3 separate regions of the Mus musculus genome follow, and regions 2 and 3 are each reported to be linked to region 1. The links are microRNA targets in miRTarBase. Many come from high-throughput screens and were not tested one by one. Region 1 holds a microRNA gene; each other region holds the end of a gene's coding sequence.

The links. Region 1 holds the annotated microRNA mmu-miR-384-3p (AUUCCUAGAAAUUGUUCACAAU, at 2,997-3,018, opposite strand). A microRNA usually pairs through its seed, bases 2 to 8, with sites in the 3' UTR of a target mRNA and lowers its output. Matches are read on the target gene's strand: a 7mer-m8 pairs with bases 2 to 8, a 7mer-A1 pairs with bases 2 to 7 and ends in A, and an 8mer does both.
Region 2: miRTarBase lists Nol3 as a target of mmu-miR-384-3p. Seed matches in the 3' UTR shown: 7mer-m8 at 2,427-2,433.
Region 3: the mRNA of Moap1 is a reported target of mmu-miR-384-3p. Seed matches in the 3' UTR shown: 7mer-A1 at 4,596-4,602.

What each region holds. Positions count from the first base shown.
Region 1 is chrX:105,341,296-105,349,127 of GRCm38, forward strand. Mir384 (microRNA 384) reads right to left here and starts at 3,074; the gene lies at 2,987-3,074.
Region 2 is chr8:105,278,885-105,286,716 of GRCm38, forward strand. Nol3 (nucleolar protein 3 (apoptosis repressor with CARD domain)) reads left to right here. Exons shown (of 4, transcript NM_030152.4): 2 at 90-386; 3 at 532-891; 4 at 1,011-3,055. The coding sequence starts at 92. The coding sequence ends at 1,018. It overlaps 4931428F04Rik (RIKEN cDNA 4931428F04 gene), which reads right to left. Exons shown (of 8, transcript NM_028888.2): 3 at 6,372-6,985; 4 at 6,146-6,289; 5 at 5,782-5,914; 6 at 4,291-4,596; 7 at 4,103-4,200; 8 at 1,525-3,260. The coding sequence starts at 6,929. The coding sequence ends at 3,096. Among named protein-coding and RNA genes, the nearest start is that of Nol3, 6.4 kb to the left of the region's middle.
Region 3 is chr12:102,735,432-102,743,263 of GRCm38, forward strand. It overlaps Moap1 (modulator of apoptosis 1), which reads right to left. Exons shown (of 2, transcript NM_001142937.2): 2 at 4,399-7,832. The coding sequence ends at 6,799. It overlaps Gm20604 (predicted gene 20604), which reads right to left. Exons shown (of 2, transcript NM_001142939.1): 2 at 4,399-7,832. Among named protein-coding and RNA genes, the nearest start is that of Moap1, 4.3 kb to the right of the region's middle.

The DNA of each region.
Region 1 (7,832 bases):
GAAGGATGTTATTCTGCAAGAACAAATCTTTCAGACCTGCTTTCTGTCAGGGGAGTAGGGTAAATGTTGAAAAATAGAAGAGGGTGTACAACATGAACATAGGATATATGGCTGTTCCAAGAAGAAAAGGGTACATGAAGAACATACTCTAACTTTTGTCTTATCCCCAAGTAATATCTTGAAATAATTGCAGAGAGAATCTAATTCATTGGCTATATTTTACAAGACACACCACAACAGATCTTAGCCATGCATCTCAAAAGCTTCAGGTGTTGATCTTGCTTTGTCTTACCTACCAGTCAGAGAGCACTAGAAGACAACAGGCCTGCCATATATACAGTGCTAGCCTTTTGGTAAAACCATGCATAACATTTTGTTAACCCTGATTCATTCCTCCATAGCCAAGAAGTTCTTCACCCTGCCAAATCCACAGCTTTCTTGGATGCTAGCATGGGCCAGTTCCCTTCAGCTGGTCTTCCCAGCTGGACTTTGATTAGGAATTCAGTAATACTCAATCATGCTACAGTAATTTCTCGTGACTCATCCTTCTAATGACACATCAGAAGGGATGAGCCTCTGGTAAAAAGCCTTGGAGTATTTACTTTAACATGCTTATCCTTACTGATCCTGTAAGTAATCTACCCACATCCCAAAGTTAACATTCCCATCTTTTTGGCATCATCTGGCAGTGCTACCTTTTCATTTTCAGGGAGAAAAGGAATGACAGTATATTGTTCCATGGTTTTGAACAGGCTCAGAAGGAAAGAAATCTACAGCTCATGGCAAAGAGGTATAGGGAAACTGCAGGCAGAAGATTGCAGTCCCTGTCAATATGACATAAGCAAGGTATATTTGAAGGTTCAAATTAGGGACAGAGGTGTGGCAAGTAGAAAAAAAATGCCTAAAGATATAAAAGAATGTTCCATCACTTTTTTGCATGTCAGACAGCCCAAGAAACAGCTTTGTCTTTGGAAGCTAAATTTCTGCCTCAAATATTTTTGCTTAATTCCAAAATGCTTGTTCTACATATCAAACCTCATGTATGGTTCAAAGAGTATAGCAGCATGACTGGAGAGATTCCCTATGAAACATCAAGGACTGTGAAGATGAAGGTCCAGGTCTTTCATTCTGAGTTCAAGATGAAACACAAAACCTTCAAAATGTAAAGTTGGGTTGCCTGAACAATAACATAATGTTCAGTAGTGAGCCAGTGTTTATATTCTACTCGAAGCTGTTAAACCCACACTTGTACTTGTGGGGGTGGAGCATCTCCTGTAATCCAAGCATTGGCAGAATCTGAGGAGTAAAGGTAAAAAGATCAGCAGTACACAGAGATGTTGAAAAATCTGTCTAATCATACCTTTAAGAAATATAGCAAAGAACTTCTGTATTTGTCTTTCTGACAAGGCCTCCTCTTTTTAGACTTCCCTTACCTGCTGCATTGTATGATACAATCCTTCCACTATGTCTCCCACTATGGGTATTTTTGTTGTCCCTCTTCATTTCTTCTATTATTTTTATTTTCTGGACCAATATGTTATTCCTAAGGCACAGTAACAAAGCACTTAAGCTATGCCTGCCTATACAAGACACTCCAAAAACATCCATTCCTTTTACTTGCAACTTAGTGAATGTTATCTACAGTCTTTATCTTCCTATTGTCATACCCAATGCTGACTGTTCAATGGGTAGGAGACACTGAAGTGAATAAGCATATGTTTTCCCAAGGACAGCTAATTTCAAATAGCCTACCTAAATTTTCAGAAGATATATTCTAATTTTTGGTTAGAAAATATGGTCACCATAAGTGTAAGGCATTCTTGAAAATTACACAGTACATAGATCATTGCAATTCAGTTTGAAAGGCAAAATGGACTTAAGTGAATAGAAGCATTAAAAGAAGATACACCAGAGAGGACCAAAACAACTAGATGGACTTTGACAGACAGAAATGCGTTGGGCCTTGGGAAATGGGTCATGTCTGAATACAGTAGGGATGAGACTGGGGTTGAGTGTCATCATCTAACCAAACTGAGGACCATTTAAAATATTGCTCAGCTGTATATTACTATATCAGCCAATGTATACCAGTACAGATGCTGAAATCAATTGTCAAAAGACTTTGTCCATACTTTTGATATTTCTTGATCCAAAGCCCGCATAGCCAGCTCATTTCTTGGCTTCATCTGAGTGGGCTGCCAGGATGGTCCATTTCCACTAGTCAAATAGAAGTCAAGGGAATCCACTTAACTGTCTACATGCAAAGAAACCCAACCAGTGGCTTGATATGATCATAACACTCAAGGCCAAAACTCATTCAAAACTCATTCAACATTTTGTTTTCATTTCTAAATTGATTTAAGAAAAGATACAACCCACAGCTATGCTGATATAAACCAGTAGGCAGATCATTTCAAAATAGTAAATGAAAATAGATAACTATAAATAGTAATCAAGTATACATATTAAATAATGACTATGCAAACATCAACATATTAACATATAAGTGAACAGGGTAAGGTAAAAAATCATGACAGTAAGGTTGATAGATATTATTGTTTCTTTCCCATGACTTATGGAATTAGAATATCAAAATTTGTTTGGAAGTGAGGTTGGAGAAAGGCAATGAAGCTTTAGTTAAAGCTTTTGTAAAGGAGTAAGAAAGTTTAGGGCTTTGGCTCACCTAAGAAGTACAATTGCCTTTGCTCCTAATTATTGATTTTTTTATTTCTAATGCCTCTTAAAATTAGCATGTCTAAAACCCTGCATCACCAAAGTACTATCAAATAATGCAGATACCCTTGGGAACTATGGAAATCAAGTAGTAGTGCTATTATCAGAATTATTAACACCTAGACACATTAACAAATAAATAAGTAGAATTGATTACAAAAACAAATGTCATGATCCAGAGATGTTCTAGGAATGTACAGTTAGCTTCTTGAAGGCTTCCTATGTATTTCAGGAATCTTGCTAGCTGAATATATGTTACAGGCATTGTGAACAATTTCTAGGAATGACTTACCAACATTATACACATTGCCTAGGAATTGTTTACAATTCCTGATTTAACATTCCGCTGCAAGAGAAATAACCAGTTAACTTAAATTTGATCATACACTGGCTTCAAAGCAGAAGGCAGCATTTCTGCAGGCCTGCCATGTAATGGGAAGATTGACTTTTACATAAAACTTAGACAATGGCTAAGTAGCTGGGCTGTTCACGTTGAAGAGTCACATGCAGAAGACAATGCATCAACTGACTGAAGAAAAATGCCAAGGAAAATTCCTTTCATTATTTTTAAAGTGAATTAATTTTACAGCAATCACAAATCCAAACATATAATGCATAAATATTTCAAAAATGAATTAAAATATGTAAGTCTACATTTCTTTCTTTGCACTATTTTTGAACAAATTGCCTACTAGCTATTTTTATTTTTAAATAGATTAGGATCTGTACACTCAAGATATGTACTGAACTGTCTGAAGCAGTCCCCCTGAAAATGTGTTCTGATGTTGCCATTGTTCAGAATAGTTTTAAAATGCTGCTTTGAGAACTAACTGCCTTCCGAGCCAGTTTATGAGTGAGACAGTAACAAAATCACATTGTTTTCTTATCACATTTTAAAACTTAGCTATACAGCATAGTAACTACACAATTTGATTCAACCAGGTTCATCAAAGAAATCAAAAATCCAGCCACATTGTTCCTAAAGCCCTGTCCCAGGCCACCCCGAGAACCTTTACTTAGGCTGGATGCGAGACAGTCTTTCATTCTCCACCCAAGCACCCTAAAGTCATGTCCAGTTTTTGAAAAGTACTGGCTAACATTTGTTTCAAAAATCTAGACTAAACTTTTCCAGTGAACTTTCATGATACACTGTGTTTGTCCAGATGAGGCAGCTAGACTGTAAGCTTCATGACAGCAGTTCACTGCCTTATTCCTAGCACCTATAGCCATGTTTTGGATGTTGTCATTGCTTAACAATATCTGTTGAATGGTAAATGGATGGTTGTAGGGGAGGTGATGATGGATGTATGGATAGATGGATAAAGTTCACTAAAGAGTTATTACAGATATATCTTGGGATATTGTTCTGTAATAGAGTACTTGCCTAGCATATACAAGTTCCTGGGGTCATATCTCCAACATAATAAAATAGATACCACGACAAAGTTGATGGTTATATAGAAAGTTTCCCTTCTAGGAGTGAGCCCAGGATATCACTGTTGGTCAGTAGCTAAAAATGATTCTGGTGGTGGTTATAGCATACACCTGGATTGTGAGCTGGTTCGCTGATAAGAATTAGAAGTTATTGCCTTGCCTGTTTTGGACCAGTTGCTCATACACATTCCAGTCACAGACTATCCTCTTATACAGGTCAACTTGCCAGCAAACAAGTGCCACGGGGTTTTACTTTCAAGAGGATCCAGTGATCCATTATCTAAAGTGATTTCAACTAGGTTATACAGCAAACTAATGAAGGATAGTAGAGCTTTGGTCTGAGATGAGGAAAATAAACTACAAGAACTCTGTACTGTTCTCATTCTTTTCCTTTCAATCCAGAATTATAATCCTGTGATCTTCTTTCTCAGCATGCTTACCTTCTCTATAAGCTAGAAAAACAAAGCTGAGGCCCTCTCCAGCTCATCATCTAACTTGGCAATAGATCCTGTTTCCTGTCTTAGTGGCAGCAGTGGCAGCAGTGCTAATAGTATAAAAGTAGTAGTAATAATAAACATTAAAGCTCTGCTGGTGATAGAGTTGATAGTGGTGCTATACTTGCTGAGTGCTCAATACATGGTATACACTCTCTTTAAATGCAGTTTTTAGTTCTCTTGACAAAACAATAGAGTTAGCCCTGTTGCTATTAGTTTTGTAGTTTAACAAAGTGAGACTATGATAGGTTAACACACAAAGCCAGTCAGGGGTCAAAGCCTTTGCCTGCCTTACTTTTGTGCCAGAGAGTGAATCACAATAGCATGTTGCCTCTTGGTATTATGTTCTGCCCTCTGACACATCCTCCCATGGCGGACAATAAAGATGTAAAAGAAAGTTAAACATACACCCTCGTTCAAACCTTAAAGTGATTTGGTCCTGCCTTATTGTATTTGATAATAGTAGCTGCAAAGCAACCCATTCCTAGAGCCCTAACATCTGTTTTAAGACCTTGAGCGGGTATGTTTTTCTGGAATATCCCTTCAGAAATGTTTTTTTGAACATTTGTTCAAACAAGCTAAAGTCTGGACACCCTCTGATGCCTTTCTCAATTGGTTATGCGCCAAGTACGACATGATCTTCTGCATGTGGTTTGAGTTAGGTGGAAGTGTTGCACATGCCTGGGATACTGGGCAAGCCCACTAGAGCTGCCCCTAGACACAGACAAGCCTGACTCCAGCAGACTCACTGAGAAGATGGCAGAGCTGTAGTGACTGGGATGGGAACACCAGTTGGACAGGTCACCCCATAACCCTCATTAAGCTAGACCATTTGTATTCTAAGTATTCTTTCCCCCTTTGCCTGCATATTTAATTGTGTTTGGGATGGGTTCCAAAATACCTAGTGAACTTCCCAAGCCTTATGACTTGAGAGTTTCAGGAGCTCTGAGCCTGAAGCAAGCACTAGGCTAGTTGCTACAGTCTGGCTTTCCTGTTGCAAACCACATGAGCTCTACCTGCTGTGCCATGAGATCATGAGGGAATTGATCAATGCCTCCTCGTGCACATAACTGGTAGGGACTATAATCCCAGACAGTTTTACAACTTTGGCAGGATGGAGGTACACACTGAGGATAGATTGAATGTCACCTCTTGGCCTGGGTTTGTGGAAGATGGCTGAAGAGCCCATCCGCAAAGCTGCCACATGGCCAAGTCCATGTGAGTGATGGAAACACAGCTATGGGAAGAGTCCAAGGCCAGTAATGAGGGAGAAGACACTCAAACCTACGGGGAATCCCTGAGTCCCCAACATCTGTGAGAAAGATCAGATGAGGCTCTGGGGTAAAAAACAAAAGAAAGCACTTAGCAGTTCTAAGTGTTCACAGAAAGAAATGAAGAATACAAGTCTGCCATGGGCATGGGAGAACTCAGGTGTCAGACCTGCTTGAACATTCAAGTTCAGAGGTACAGTATTTCCTTAAGCCAGTATGAGCTCCTGAAATTGCCTCCAAATATTCTTGAAAAACAACCCCTTCTTCCCTCCTTTTAAAGTAAGATGCATATGTACTGCTGAAAACTAACATCATCTCTCCATACACTTAGCCTAGCAACTGGGAGAAAAGAATGCTAGTGGTTACATGGGATTCTGTGTTTTAATTGACTAGGGTAGATAAAGTTTGGAGAAAACAAACCAGGTAAGGGTTAATCACAGCGTTTGCAATGAGAAGTCATGGAGGCCTAATAAAAAGTACAGAAGTGCAATATGGGTGAAGGATTGGTATCATGAGTTAGCAACCCACTAGATTTATCAGGGCAATGGAGAAAAAATGTAAATGCCATTTTTATCATTTATAGTGATAAGAGGAAAATAGTAATGCCAGTAACATGAACAGTGAATTCAGGAAAAGAACAGATCTTAGGAGAAGAAAATATGTTTCAAATGCCAGACTCAGCATTAGAATACACATTTTAAAATTATTTTCTGGCCTGGGAGAGAGGTCAGGGCTAGACACAAATGTTCAGGCAGACACAGCTTGCCTGTTCCTTTACTTAAGTCCAAACCTGCTGGTCCCCCACTCACTATCAGCAGAGGCTACACCAAACAATGGATATTTGAAATTCCTGCCTTCCTGCTTCCACTGCTAATTTCTCCTGCTGCCCAGTTTCTTCTGCCCTCTACCTCCAGAATGTTATAGCAAAAGAACCTACTGGGTTCTTCATCCATCGCAATCACAATACATGTAATACCTATCTAGAAGAATGACTCTTTTATATTCCCAAACACATGTCAGATGGGAATAATAAATGATCCCAACAGATTATATTAATCAGTTTCCATTTCCTTGAACATTTATTACACAGACAGAAAACTTGTCACATATGAGAACAACCTTGAAAGAAGATAAGGCGAGTGGTACAGAGTTATGGTGACCATATTTCCTTAAACAAAAATTTGACACTGGTCCCTGTTAAAAAACAAAACAAAACAAAAACAAAACAAAAAAAACCCAAAAAACAAAAAACTTGGTGATGCCCTCGCTGGTTGAATGAACAATTTAGGAGATATAACTGAAACAATGAAAATTGTGTTTCCCAAGACATTTCAACTGTTCCCCAGGAACAATAGGACAAAATACTTATAGTGGGAAATACCGATAAATGCCAATAACATTGTATACTTTGTGGTTTTGTACTTTAAATGTTTTTTTTTCTTTTAGTCTTTTCATACTCTATAACTTCCAGTCTAAATATAATAGTCTTGCCATTTGCTCCTTCCTTAGACAACTTGAGGGTCCAAAAATACTGAAGGTCAGTGTGAGAGAGTACCTCAAAGATAAACTGAACTTTTTCTTTGTTTTTAAGACAGTATCTTATATATCCCAGGATGTCCCAAAACTTAAAATGTAGCTGATGATGACCTTGAACCTCTGATTCTCTTGCCATTACCACCTAAGATCTAGGATTACAGACAAGCATATTACCACCATGCCTTGTTTATATAGCACTGGGGTTTGGACCTAGAGCTTTGTGCAATTTAGGTAAGAAGTCTACCAACTGGGTTACAGTCCCAGCCTCAAACCATTCTTGATTTTTTTTTTTTTTGAGACAAGGTCTCACTATGTATTCCGGACTGGCCTGAAACTCACTATATAGACTAGCCTCAACTGATAC
Region 2 (7,832 bases), not on the chromosome of region 1:
TGATGTTGAGGTGAACTTAGATAACTCCTGGTCAGCGTAGAGTAACGCAAATTACGCCCCGCCCCCTTCTCTCCTTCTTGACACAGCAGAAATGGGCAACGTGCAGGAGCGCCCATCAGAGACCATTGACCGGGAACGGAAACGGCTGGTAGAGACATTGCAGGCTGACTCTGGGCTGCTGCTGGATGCGCTGGTGGCCCGGGGCGTCCTCACTGGGCCCGAGTACGAAGCCTTGGATGCGCTGCCCGATGCAGAGCGCAGGGTGCGCCGCCTACTGCTGTTGGTGCAGAGCAAGGGCGAGGCAGCCTGCCAGGAGCTACTGCGCTGTGCCCAGCAAACAGTGCGCATGCCAGACCCGGCCTGGGATTGGCAGCACGTGGGGCCCGGTGAGCACCAAGAGGGTGGAGCCTTGATGAATCGAAGGGCGTGGATTAGGGGCAGGGCGAAGCAAAGGGTAAATGGAGGGCAGAGAATTTGGAGGTAACCACAGAGGGGTGAACTGAACCTCAAGTACTCCCTCTTCCTTCCCAGGCTACCGGAACCGCAGCTATGACCCTTCATGCCCAGGCCACTGGACGCCAGAAGCACCCAGTTCAGGGACCACATGTCCTGAGCTGCCAAGAGCGTCAGAGCAAGAGGAGGTCGGAGGTCCTGAGGGCTCTGAGGCACTGCAGCCTCGAACTCCAGAGGAGCCAGAACTAGAAGCTGAAGCTACTGAAGGGGATGAGCCAGACCTGGAACAAGAAATGAATCCAGAACAAGAGCCGGAGCCGGAGCCCGAGCCAGAACCCGAACCCGAGCCCGAGCCGGAACCCGAGCCCGAGCCAGAACCCGAGCCCGAGCCGGAACCCGAACCCGAGCCCGACTTCCAAGAAGAGGATGAATCTGAAGGTTGTGAGAGCGCCTAAACCCTTGCTTGCAGGCTTGTTACGGGTTGTGGACTGCAAAGTGTGTGTGTGTGGGGGGGGGGGGTTGATCCCTATTCCACTAACCATCATTTTCATCTCCAGATTCCTGAAGGCCAGAATCCTTAGCTGTCCAATCCTATTTGTGCTGGATAAGACCTGGAAACCTGCCAGAGCTTGACCCCATCGATGCACCGAGACACCTACTGCCAAATGAATAAACTCAGGAGGGTCAGTCTGTTCCTGACTCTCCACAAGTCTGGCTCTTTGCTCAAGAACTGAGGGTGAGCGTGGGTCTGAATCCCACTGACCTGAGCAGGCTTGTGTGAAAATACCCCCATCCCCTCAAAAACATTCCACTTCCCAAAGAGCCCAAGCTGTAATTCTGGAGATCTCAGATGCAGGCCCCCAAATCTGACCCTCCCTCACCCACTTTATTCCCCTCAGGGGCCATTTGGGAGGCCGAGTGGGCAACACTTCTAATCCATGGAAATCACTCGGCTTGGTGTACCAAGCAAGTGAAGGGGGATGTCCATCCACACATGGAGAGAAGTCTTGGCGCTCACAGTCTTGCAGGGAGGACCTGAGAGGAAACTTGAGTAGACAGAAGCCACACACATCATTGTAACTGCTGTTTAATTGTCTGGCTTTCCTCTGAACTGGGAGCTCAGTGAGGGGCGTGGGGTCTAACCAGTCACAGACATACACAAGGAGCTCTGCACATATCTACTAAGTAAATGAATACAAACTTCCCAGCTGTGTTTCCAAGCTTCACAGATGGAAACATTAACTGAAAAGCCAGGGTTAGGACAGTACTAGCTCACTCTCCCACCGCTGAATCTGAAGTGAAATGAAAGCCTTAACCAGCTCTGTACTAATCCTGGCCTGAACGTGGGATAACAAACCCTAGGGCCTGCCCTGTAGGTTTGATTGTGGTTGCTCCCGCCTGTCCTAACCACTGCCAGAGACCAGCTGTGAGGCTGTGGTTAAAGACAGGCACAACCAAGACTAACATGGGGACTGAGGGTGGGACCAGGTGCTGGACTCACAAGACACAAGACACAGTGTGTCTGTGTGAGTGATAAGAAAGGGGGTCTAGGGGGCTGGAGAGATGGCTCAGTGGTTAAGAGCACTGACTGCTTTCCCAGAGGTCCTGAGTTCTACTCCCAGCAACCACATGGCGGCTCACAACCATCTGTAATGGAATCTGATGCCCTCTTCTAGTGTGTCTGAAGACAGCTACAGTGTACTCGTATACATAAAATAAATAAGTCTTTGAAAGAAAAGAAGGAAGGAAGGAAGGAAGGAAGGAAGGAAGGAAGGAAGAGAGAGAGAGAGAGGGAGAGGGAGGGAGGGAGGAAGGAAGGAAGGAAGGAAGGAAGGAAGGAAGGAAGGAAGAGGGAGAGAGGGAGGAAGGAAGGAAGGAAGAGGGAGAGAGGGAGAGGGAAGGAAGGAAGGAAGGAAGGAAGGAAGGAAGGAAGGAAGGAAAGAAGGAAGGAAGGAAGGAAGGAAGGAAGGGGTCTAGGAACATACGGTACTTTTCCAAAGGATCCTGCCCCTACATGGAACTACTACTACTACTACTACTACTACTACTACTACTACTACTACTACTTCCGGGCCCCGCCTGGAGGCATGAAATGACCCCATGAGGGCGACTATGGAACAATGCATGACCAGTGAGACAGACAGAATGCTGAAAGGCAAAGCCCAGCCCAGCTGGGTCTCTGAGCCTGAGTGACAGCCGGAACCCCATGCTCAGGCAAATCACCTCAGAGGGGTTCCCAACTCCTGCTGGCCCCAGTGAGAGGTAGAGGTATGAGTGTAGAAGGAGCACCAATCGGCCAGGTAGGGGGAAGGGAAGGAGTGGTACCAGACACCCAAAGCCATCTCATGCAGGAACAAGTTTCTATTCCCAAACCAACCCACATTTCTATTCACACTCAGCTCCCATCTCATCGCCCTCCCATCTCCCCTGCTCAGGAGTTTATGTGACATGCTGCTGCAGTTCACAGGCCCCAGGAAGGGTAGCAAGGACAAAAACCTTCTAACGTTGCTTCTCATCTGCCCACGATGCTCCTGGCCTCCCAAATGCCCCCAAGAAACACCTAGGCTATGGAACCATAAAGAACTTCATATTCCGATCTGTGACCTCTGTCAAGAGCGTCTGTCTATAACCCTTAGTCAACATCAGTCAGGCAGCAGGCGGCCCAGCTCCGCTTCATCCAGCCGGTTGGTGGTCATGATGTGTTCCAGCTGCTGCCGGTAACGTTCCAAGTCCTTCATGAAGTGGGGCACTCTGGTATTGTCTAGCACCCCGTAGGGCCGCAGTTGTTCCACGTCTTCATAGGAGACCTATAGGAAGCAAACTGAGCCTCAGAGCTAATCAAAGTGCCTGGCTTTCAAGTCCAGGATCTACCCATGGCTCAGGGCCATTTGCTCCTGAGATGATTGTGTATATTCTTCATCGACTCCTACAATAGATACCTTCAGGCTCTGCCCTGGATCTTCTATCTTTCTCTCTCTATCTTTTATCTACGTTGTACAACCCATTCCTCTCCAGCCCACCTTATCTCCTCACCTCTAAATGGTATCCAACTGATACCTGGGTCTCTCTCTCGGGTTATCTCCCACATCCAACAGGAGACTGTTGAATGTCAGCTGTCTGTCCTCCCCTCTGCATAGTCACCACAATCAGGTCCAAGAAAGGCCGACTAGGTTCTCATTTCCCCATTCAGGGAGTCCAACAGTTCTTTTATCTGTAGTTTATAGCTTTGCCATTATCAATTCTGTAAGAGTGATGGAAGACCTCCTTCTCTTGCCTATCTAGGTCTTCCATTTCCTGCACTTCCCACAGAACATTCAGTTGGAGCCTTTTAAAGAAAATCCATGCCCACACATTTACGATACTCCCCCCCCCCCTTTGCTTCTATCGAGGTTTGCCTCAACCTGGTACAAGACCTGGGCTTTGGTCCCTGGCCATTTCTCCCACCTTCTTCCCCAGAACTTCTTGACCTCTCCCTGCCTTGGAGTGCTCACCTCCCTTAACACCTATGTACACATCTGCAGGCTAGGTCACACACCTGATCTGTGCTACCAAAACTTTGTCTCATTTTGTCTGCCTTCCCAAGTGTCGAGGCCTTCACCAAACATAACTCTAAAGAAGAAAGAGCTGGCTGGGCCTTTCGGCCCTTTACCTTGCCCAGCGAGGTCAGCAGCTGGAAATCAATGGTGTGCCGGTGCCGTAGGATGCGCAAAATGCCATCCAGGTACACCTGGTCCTTGCTGAAGCAGCCTGTGAGAAGGATAACCAATCGAGCCTTACCCAAAAGCCACCCTTCACCTTGCGCCAGCTTGAGCATTCTTGCGACTCCACAGTTCCCACCTGGCTGGGAGGTATCCGTCTGTCCTCGCTTGGCACGGACGCAGTACTCCCAGCGTACACCCTCGTCCTGCACGTACTGCGCCAGATCCTGGAAGAGCTGGCGGAAGGACATGTGCGCCGCCTGGTGGATGGTGTAGTAGAGCAGGGCGGCGCGCCACAGGAATGGTTGCTTTCGAAACAGCACACTATGCAGGCTAGCCAGGCCCTCCTCAGTAGGGTTGGCTGGCTGAAGGCCGTACTGCAATCTGCCTTCAGTGCTGTGCCACGGTTGCCGCGAATTATTCACACCACGCAGGTAGTGGGTGCCTGCAGGGAGGAGGAGGAGGAGGGGGCGGAGAACTCACTCCAAGGACCTCTAGTAGAGACTCTTAGATCCTCGTGCCCCGCCCCAAAATTCACACCCTACAAGTCATCCCAAGCCCTACCTAAATCCATTCGCAGCCTACTCCAGACAACTTCTTGGTTCAGGGCAAGCTCTTCTCTACTTACGTTCTCATCTCCTTCGTCCCAGTTCATTCTGTGTGCCCCAGCCCTCACAGATACTAAGCACCTGCCCGCTTCCCAACATCCTAATGCCCGAGCCAATCATCTTGACAGTCATTCAAATGCTCCAATCAAAAACCACTTTTTGCCCAGAGCAACAAGATTCCTGTCTGGGGAGGACAGAGTAACTAGTGTCTTGTGCTTGCCTTCCTAGCCTGGTCTGTCTTCTTTTATCTATGCATCTGCAAGCAATACCATTTCTAGGCTCTAGTCTGCCACCCACCCAGGTGGAACTGGTGGGCTGGTCTAGTGGAAGCCCACAGGATTCTTTTTTTGGCCCCTTAGAACTCCTTCACTGTCAAAGGAAAATCAGAAAAGAATTGGGAGATAGGGGCTGGAGAGATGGCTCAGCGGTTTAGAGCACTGACTGCTCTTCCAGAGGTCCTGAGTCCAATTCCCAGCAAGCACATGGTGGCTCACAATCATCTGTAATGGGATCCGATGCACTTGTCTAGTGTGTCTGAAGACAGCTACAGTGTACTCACATATATAAAATAAGTAAATCTTAAGAAAAAGGAGAGGGAGAGGGGGAGGGGGGAGGGGGGAGAGGGGAGGGAGAGGAGGGGGAGGAGGGGGAGGAGGGGGAGGGGGAGGAGGGGGAGGGGGAGGAAGAAGAAGAAGAAGAGGAAGAGGAAGAGGAAGAGGAAGAAGAAGAAGAAGAAGAAGAAGAAGAAGAAGAAGAAGAAGAAGAAGAAGAAGAAGAAGAAGAAGAAGAAGAATTGGAGATAGTCTCAAAAAAAGAAGATGAAGGTCAGCCTACAGAGTGGGCAGGCATGTTTGCTAATGCAAAGGAAGAGGTGTCTGCTTAGGGATGAATAAGCCTGTCTTCTTCCAGAGGGAAGGAAGGGGGAGAAAGAAGGGGACTACTGAGACCCCCCACTACCCTACCCCCATCTCTCCATACCTTTCAATCCTACCCACCCACCCAAAGGCCACCCACAGCCTGACCTATCTCGTGCCGCAGCATGCCCTCCAACCAGTACTGGCGGGCTCCAGTCAAGTTGATGGCCAGTGTGGGTCGGCTGTTCTCCACCATCATCACAGCCTGGGACAGTAGATCTTCACTCAGCTGTACCACAATCTACAGGGTGACAGGGATCCCTGAGTCACGGTTTCCAAGCCCTGACACCCAGTGCTACAGGCCGGGCGCTGGCTAGGGTACCCACCCTTCAAAGCTGGCTTTTACTTCTCTGGGACTGGGGCAGGGACATGTCTGGGGAATTAGAGCTGGCCAGACGTGTAGGGGTCTATGAGCTAGGTGACCTGATTTGGGGCACACAGAGGATGGGTCTTGTAGATAGGGCAAACTTACCTCCCCAACACAGCCTTCCTTCTGCATGTATTTGCGCACGGTGGACCAAATTTGGCACTTGGTCAGCAGCTGGCCCCCTGTGGCAGCCTCAAAGTTTTCATAAGTGCCAAACTTCTCCAGGACAGCCTCAATGATGCCAACTGCCTGTACACAGGGCCACAGTCACTAGTCAGGCTAGGTCCCTTGGGTAGTCAGGGCCAGGGTGAAATGGGCAGGGGGAGCTGACCTGATTCATGAATTGCGCAGAGGCCTCCTGGTACTTCTCCAGCACACTCATTGGCATCGGTTCCTGATACTCGAACTGTGGATTGTAGGTATAATGAGACTGGAAGAACTTTTCCCGTTCCTGGTCCATGTTAGTTGGCCGCAGGGCCACCAACATACAGGGGCTCTTGCTGCTACTACTGCCTACATCCTTTCGAATCTTAGCAATGTGAGGTAAGGAGGCTGCAGGCCGTAGGGTCCCTCCTGGATCGCATCCCCGTCCAATCGGGGCTTTACCACGCCCCCGCCGGCCAGTACTATTTACACTGTAGGTGCTCTCGCTGCGACGCATGTGGCTACTCTGCTCCAAGTGCAGCTTTGAGAAGGTCTGCCACATAGTCTGCTGCTGCAGTGCTGAAGGGACTGCCAGAGCCAAGGGCATCCCCAGGGACTCAGGCCAGGGGTACAGGGGTGGCCCATTTCCGTTTGAGGGCTTCAGCTTATGGTGCTGAGATGGGGAACCGGCAGGGGGCCTGGGGGGTGCCTGCTCATACACCTGTGTCCCCGAGTCCAGCACCATTCTCTCCTGAGGGTCACATCCAGCTCTGTCGTGCCAACTTCCCAGACTGTTGACCTCTAGGGACACAGAACGGCATGCAGAAACCAGCATGAGGGGATGTGGTCAGAGGAGGAAGCCCCCTGTCCCATGTTATCCGTGTTGAGTCCAGAGTCTGCTGCCAGGAACTCAAGAAACTCTCCACCCTCCAGAAGTATGCATTCCTTCTACCAGGCTTATCCAATAGTCTGAGGTGGAGCAAAGCAAGGCAACGAATTGTAGACATTTTCCTATTTATTAGAATTCTCTCTGACGGTCAGATCTAGAGCTAAAACTAAGGTCTTAAACATGGTTCTAATTTCAGTGTTTAGCACTTACCCAATCTGGAAGTTGGCAGAATACAGACCGCCTCAGATCCCTAGATGGACCACAGGTGAGAGAAGCCCACAATCTGCTTTGTACCGATGGCATCTTCCCAGTCCCACCTCCCCGCTTCACCTAGCTCATTACAGCCTCCCGCCCTTTGGTAATCAGTTTGAATGAATGCACTTGCTCAGGCCAGTCCCCACATGAAATACTCTTCTCTTTCCCATTGATCAGGATGGAATTAGAATCTGCTTTTGGGAAGCAGAGGAAACCCAGCGCATTCAAACCAGCCCCTGGCCTGTCACCTAGCTGAGATATCTTTCCCAGTGGGCATCCAAGGCCACTGTCAGAGAACTCACCCCTGACTGCGTGTCAGGGCTCAGTGCAATCCACTCTCTCCCCAGAGACACACTGAAGGCGTCAGCCTCTGAACTCCCCTTGCCTGCTCAGAAACTCAACTGTAGCCTTTCTCCTTGATCCTACATCACCAGTCTTTCTGGCAACTGAAGAAATACATGCTGTTGTTAAAAAACATCTTAAAAAACAAAACAAAACCTTTCT
Region 3 (7,832 bases), not on the chromosome of region 1:
CATATTTTATCTCTTGTTTCATTTGCTTTATCTGTTCAACCTCTGCAACATTACACAAATAGGAAGTCTTCACTGAAACAAAGCAGAAATATATAACATTTTTATTTTCTGACAGGGTCTCACTATGTAACCTCCGCTGATCTGGAACTTGCTGTGTAGACCAGAGATCTATTCTGCTCTGACTGGTCTGGATCTAGCCAGTGCTCTGTATCATTTTAGTGGTGATTAAATGCATAGCTTTGGAAAGGTGGGCACTCCTATGATTCCCTCTCCAGTGATTGGTGGCATCTGTGCTTGTTATGTGCATGTAAGGACTTAATGGGTGTGAACAATTTTACTTATGTTTTAAACTTTACAGAGAAGTCACAGAGCCAGTGCAGAGTTCCTGCATACTCACTTCCCTTCCCTTGATGAGACAGGCTGACTCTATGACAGGCTTCAAACTGGCAGTTCAAGAGATTAGGCCTGAAAACCCAGGCTTGAGGCAGCTAGTCAGAAACTGCCGTCTGTCACCTGGCCTGAAGCAAGGACAATGGGTCGGCAACAGTTTCCGGCTCCCATGCCCCATAATGGTTTTGGAATGTCTCTAAGAGATAGAACAAGATAAGATCACCTATTCCAGAATTCCCATAATATGCCTTCAAGCTCAATCGGGTGTTTATCTTGGTAATGGGAGACCCCAGCATGCTGGACTTCTGCAGCATAAAACACTTTTTGTGTTTACATACTATTTGACTCCAGGGTACCTTACACCCTACCATTACTTTAGGGCTGTGCATTTGTGCCATCTGAAGAAAAAACATGGCACAGTGCTAGTTAGTGCTATACAGAATGCTGGTTAGGCTTTTGTGAACTTGACACAGCTGGAGTCATCTGGGAAGAGGGAACCTCCAGAGAGAAGATGCCCCCTTGAGTTTGGCCTATAGGCCAGTCTGTAGGGGCAGTTTTATGACTGATAATTAATGAAGACCCAGCCCATTGTGGTGTCACCCCTGAACAGGTGGCCCTCTGGGTTGTATAAAAATGCAAGCTAAGCCAGTCATGGAAAGCAAGCTAGAAAAGCGGCCTTCTTCTGTGGGTTCTGCTTTATTACTTAAAAAAAAAAATGATTTATTTTATGTATAGACACACCAGAAGAGGGCATCAGATCCCATTGCAGATGGTTGTGAGCCACCATGTGGTTGCTGGGAATTGAACTCAGGACCTCTGGAAGAACAGTCAGTGCTCTTAACTACTGAGCCATCTCTTCAGCCTGAGTTTTTCAGTCCTTGAAGAAAATGTTTTCAATTGGGCTTCTATGGTGTATTTCTCCTAATTAGCCTGGCTTTATCCCATTGCACCTGGGGTCCAGACGGCTTCACAGTGACACCATTGATGCTAATGTGGCATCTGCCAGGTCTTTCCAAGGAAAGTTATTCCTGTCCCTTTCCACAAGCTCATCCTTAGAAAGATGTCACCAAGGTGAGCCTACCTGCAAAGGGAAAAGGAAGCAGCATGACAAATGCTGCTTCCGGGGTGGCTTAAATGGCAGACATCTCCCAAGGGCTCCGCATGCGCACTTGTTCCGCAGATGGTGGCACTCTCTGGAGGAATACTGGGGAACTTTGCTCACTGGGACCTATTTTGAGAGTTTATAGCCTTACCCCCCTTCCAGTTAGCTTTCCAGGCTTCCTGAATGATAAACTGTGACCAGCCAGCTTCCTGATCTGGCAGCCTGATGTCATAGCCTTCCTGCCATCATGGACTTTGCCCCTGGAACGGTAAGCCAAAACAAAACAAAATCAACAACAAAAAAACAATATAAGAAACAAACAAGCCGGGCGTGGTGGCGCACGCCTTTGATCCCAGCACTCTGGAGGCAGGGGCAGGTGGATTTCTGAGTTCAGTTTGAGGCCAGCCTGGTGTACAAAGTGAGTTCCAGGACAGCCAGAGCTACACAGAGAAACCCTGTCTGGAAAAAAAACCAAAAAAAAAAAAAAAAAAAAAAAAGGAAACAAAACAAAACCAAACCAAAAACTGGGCAGTGGTAGTATACATCTTTGATCCCAGCTCTTGAGAGGTAGAGGCAGGCAAATCTCTGTAAATTCGAGGCTAGCCTGGTGTACAGAAAGAGCAAGTTCCAGGACAGCCAGGGCTACTCAGAGAAACCCTGTCTTCAAAACAAAACAAAACAAAACAAACAAGAAAACAGAGCCCTAAACAAAAAACAAACAAACAAAAAAGCCCTCTTTCTTTCAACACAGGAGCAGAAAGTAACTTACACAGTTCCTAGAGGGTAAAGCAGCCACATGAATTATCTGACATTCTTCTGTAAAGATTCATCTTTTCTCCCATATTTATTCAATCGTTATTTACATCGACATCAACTCCCAGGAATTTACTTTGGGTTAGAACTAACACTATGGTGCTTACTCTGTGGCTGTGAGGAAGCTCTTCCCGGAAGTCCCCTGGCTATGGAAATACCACCTTCTTTTCATTTCTTTGAGAGTTTCTTTCTTTCTTTTTTTTTTAAAGATTTATTTATTATTATATGTAAGTACACTGTAGCTGTCTTCAGACACACCAGAAGAGGGAGTCAGATCTTGTTACAGATGGTTGTGAGCCACCATGTGGTTGCTGGGATTTGAACTCTGGACCTTCGGAAGAGCAGCCATCTCACCAGCCCCCGAGAGTTTCTTTCTTAAACAAAAAGAAATTCCCCTTCAAGTCCTAGTATGTCAATGTGACATTTTAGTGCCATTGTTTCAACATGGCTGTTTAAAGGGCGCATATGTGCTTTTATTATTTTCAATTTATAAACCAATAAAAAAATCCTTTTAGTTTCCTCAATTACATAGTATTCACCAGATGCATGCAGAAGACCATAAGAAAAGCTGACTGTGGGCTGGAGAGGTGGCTCAGCAGGTAAGAGGATTTGCTGCAGCAGGTAGAGGACCCTTCTGAGCACGTTCATGGCTGCAAATAATCTTGTGTAACTCCAGTTCCAGAGTTACATGATTTTCTTATGGCTTTTGTGCATGGAAGCAAACATTTATATTATCTAGAATTGATTTTTAATTTTTTTTTTATTTTTTGGTTTTTTGAGACAGGGTTTCTCTGTGTAGCCCTGGCTGTCTTGGAACTCACTCTGTAGACCAGGCTGGCCTCGAACTCAGAAATCCGCCTGCCTCTGCCTCCCGAGTGCTGGGATTAAAGGCATGCGCCACCACTGCCCGGTGGCACTGAATCTTCTTGAACCTTAAGCTTCCTGTCTGTAGAATGGACACTGTTTTTTTGTTTTTGTATTTTTTTTGACAGGCTCCTGTGAGAAGTTAACAAGCTAACCTAGAACAGCTTAAGAACAAGGGACTCTGGGGGCCAAGGAAATGATGGCTCAACAGTGAAGGGCATTTACTGTTCTTGCACAGGTTCTGGGTTCGGTTTCTAGCATTCATATGATGACTCACACCGGTCTGACTCCTGCCTCAGGGGAATCCACCACTCTCTGTTCTGGCTTCCACAGGCACTGCATGAATATGATGCGCACACATACCCACCTAATATTAAAAACAAATCAATCTTTATGACGATCAAGGACTGGCAATGGACAGGCTCGATGTAAATCCTGGCCTGTCACTTTGATAAAGGAGACCGTGGGAACACTCATCAGGAATTAAACATTATTAGAGCTTGGCTAAAATCACTGCTAATAAGTTGTTCTTCTTTCAAAACTGTAAGCACTCCTGCTGACGGGGCAATTTGACTTCTCAATCACCAGCTGCTGGACTTACCCACTGTTGGCTGCTTTGAGCAAGCGGGCTGTCAAAAGCCAGCCAGCTATCTGTATGACATCACTGTTTGGAACACTGTGTGAACACCTTGAAACGACACAACTGCAGCTCCCCAAGGCACAGCCTCTGCCAGGCCTAAGTCAGCTTCTACTAGATGTTTGCTAGCACAACGTCAGTGAATCCTAGATGACCTTGCAACCATTTTCAAGGAAGGAGAGTTTGTCTGATAGCTTAGCAGTGACTGCGATGCTAGTGTTCAGACAAGGCTGTGATTGGTGCAAACACAATTCTTCATTTACATATAAGTTTTTCTCAAAGTGGCACAAACACCCTTCCTTAGCCTTCATAGGCTGTTGAGCTCACTTTGTCAGCTAGGAGATAACCTCTTTTTTTTTTTAAATTTATTTATTTATTGTATTTACTATATGTAAGTACACTGTAGCTGTCTTCAGACACTCCAGAAGAGGCATCCAATTTCGTTAAGGATGGTTGTGAGCCACCATATGGTTGCTGGGATTTGAACTCAGGACCTTTGGAAGAGCAGTCACACTCTTAACCCCTGAGCCATCTCACCAGCCCCAGGAGATAACCTCTTGTGCTGCCTCCCCAATAAAAGATTCTCTCCAGTAGTGTTTCCTTGCCATTTTTTAAAAAGATTTATTTTATTTATGAGTACACTGTAACTGTTTTCAGTCACACCAGAAGGCAGCATCAGATCCCATTACAGATGGTTGTGAGCCACCATGTGGTTGCTGGGATTTGAACTCAGGACCTCTGGAAGAGCAGTCGGTGCTCTTACCCGAGGAGCCACCTCTCCAGCCCTCCTTTCCTATTTCTAGCTTACTTCTTAGTTGTGAGGCTAAGATGGCAATATAAAGCCAGGAGAGTGGCAGCAACAGCAGACAGTGGAGTGGCAGGCAGAGCTGGAAAATGGCTGTGTGGCTGGCTGTTGTGACAACCGAAGAGGCAGAGATAAAGGAGAGAAGGCTGTAAAGAGCTGGAAATGAAAACCAGCAGGCCCTTGTCACTGGAGGTTTCAGAGAGCTTCTGTGATTTTTACAAGTCTCAGACACCCCGAGACCTGTACGATTTAACACTGGCAAGGCGAAGGAATAATAACTTCCCAAGTCTATACAACAGCTATAATACTTGTAATGAGGTCTACCCAATAACTTAGTATTTTAGAGCAAAGGGTGGGGTTACTAGAGGCTTCCACAAGATCTATAATGCTTAATTAAGGGTCTAGCATCCTAGGCCCCTAGAGCTATAACACTAGGTGGCACTCTTCTCCACCTGTCTGTTGCCACCACTGCCAAATGTTATGGGATATATATATATATATATGCGTCAAAGACCAGCACCTAAAGATCTCTGAGCCTATGATCTACCCAGAATAAAAAGACCTGGAGCCAGGGGCTAGCCACATTACTACCTGTAAAACCACAGACAAGTTATTTTTCTGTGCCTCATCTTATTCATAAAATGGGAGGTGGGAAGAGACAGCTTCTTCTTCAGCTAGTACTTAGTCGCTGGCCAAGGATACATCCAATGTCAGCCATTAATACTGAGTCTGAATAAACCTTCAAAGCAGGGATTATCCTGTCGAGTTTACCCCCTCAGCTTAGGGTCTCACATACAGAAGAGGCGTGGCATTTATTAATGCTTGTGTGTCTATACAAAATGTAAAGTTTCTCACCGAGGCAGCAAATGAGTGACCTGCAGGACAGTGCATAATGTATCTTAAGCCACTATACAAACATGAGCAGAATCACAGCTCTCAAGAGTCCACATGCCATTCTGCAGTGGAGAACATAAGGAAACTTTCCATGTATTCCTAACTCAGAGTAATCTATCACACTCCCAAGACTACATGTACACACGGTGACAGTCTGGCCTTGATTCTTTGTGTAGTTCCCTCCCTTAGTAGAGAGAACAGCAGCTTTGCAAGAACCAGAACAGCTCTCATTACTGCCTGCTTCGTCTTGGGCATACATCCATTTCCCAGGTGATCTTAGTTTCCCTGTATGTAGTTTTCTCTTTGGAGGTAGGGCCTCCCTCTGTAGTTCTGGCTGGCCTTGAGAGGCCAGTCTTCCTGACTTTGGCTTTACTTGTTAAGCACTGGGGTTATAGGTGTGTAGCACCAGGGTTGGAAAAACACAAACCTTCATCTTCCCTTTCTCCCTCAAAATTCAATATTGATGGGCCTACTACTCGCCACAATCTGTTTATAGTCTGGTTCCTGTCAAACAAGCAAGTTCCTATCCCCTAGGTGCCAAGAGTTCAAAGAACTAAGTCTGTAATTTCAGTGGCTTTCAGATTCACACTATAAAAACTTTTGTTCAGCCTAGTGTAGTTGTGCAGGCCTTTAATTCCAGCACTCAGGAGGCACATTTCTGAGTTTGAGACTACCCTGGGTCTATAGAGTGGGTTCCAGCACAGCTAAAGCTGCACAGAGAAACTGTCTTAAAAACAAAGCCAAAAAATTATTTTCCTTCAAATGTAGTATTACAATGTATACAAAGATCAAATATTTTATTATCATTTCTTTATTACTCCAAGAAAATGATATTTAGAAGCAGACGTTTTGGCAACATATCAGATAGTCACAAACCTAAAACTAGTTGTAGAACTGACCACAGCATTCAGTTGTGCTTTTTGATTGCACAGAATCGATAACTGATTTTAATAAAAGAAACTAAATATCTTAACCAGCCTTGGCTCAGGGTCTTCAGCATAAATGTGGGCAACACCTGAAAACTATTGATAACTGATAGCACCATCACATATGACTATTAAACATGCATATAAACTTTTGACTTGCTGGGACACTGTACTAGCAGAATGGTCTTTTGATTTAAATAATTATCAGTGTAGAATGACATCATTTTTATCAGTAAAACATTGGGGAGACATTCAGTAAACAACACGACAAAGGGCGAGTTACTTTGGCAGCATAAAGAGTGGATGGGCTGATCTCTGCAATGAGCTCTTCCATCTTGTTCTGCTCATGACAGCCTTGGGTCTTGGGTCAAGTGCAATAGCCTTCTAATTCGGCCTGAAGGAGGACCTCTTCTTCTTCGGCCTCCTTATCTTTTATCAGTGTCAGCAACTGCAGTAAGCCTGGGGCTGGGCTACCCTCCGGCAGCCCAAGCTCTCTTCGAACTGATTTGTGGACTGCCCCAGCAATGACTTGGTCTAGACGGGCCTGATTCACAACTTCTTTCTCAATTGCTCCTTTCTGAACCAGTTTCTGCAATAAAGGCTCCAACCTTAGAACATAGGCAGACAGCTTTTCATCAGTCTTCTGATAAGTAGTAAGGTATTTGACCTGCAATGCTCTAGGATTATCAATAATCCCAAATATTGTCTCAAGCGTCTTCAGGCATTCTGCAACTGTAATGAAGGGGTTGTTTATCTTGAGGACTCGAATAATTTCAAATGCTGGACCTCTAAGGCTCTCTATCAACCGCCTTCTTTTCTCTACATCTGACACCTGCCATGTTTTCATTACTTGGGAAGTATGAAACATCCAAGATTCAAATTCTTCCTCACCTGGTCCTGGAGGATCCCTGCCTGAGAACACACTCAGCTTTTTGTACCTCAGATACTGCAGGGTAGGCTTAAGGGCCTCATTTAATGCCTGTGCTAACATGGGTGCTCGAATTTCAGGGATCATTATGCCCGGGTCTAGGCCGAGAGGGTCATTCCGATTCCCAAGAACTCTGGTTAATTCACCCATCGTCATGCCCTCCCCCTTTAAAAACTCATTTAATCTGCACAAAAAGTCACTATCAGTATCAGGAGGCTTAAAGATCACTCTCCAGACACCTCCTTTTGCAGGTATTTCCTTGGGGACCAGGGCACTGCCAGTCTCTACTGTAAGCCCAATCAGGGCTACATTCTTGTTCTCATCCCTCCTGAACATCCTCCCAAGCAGTCTGTGTTCCCCTAAGGGAGCAAGGCCAGCCTGCAGGGCCTCCTCTATGTCTGCCACTCCGCAGGTCGGAGGGATGCCGGCAACCAATAGTGCTTTCCGAGGATTCATATCCATCCCTCTGCACC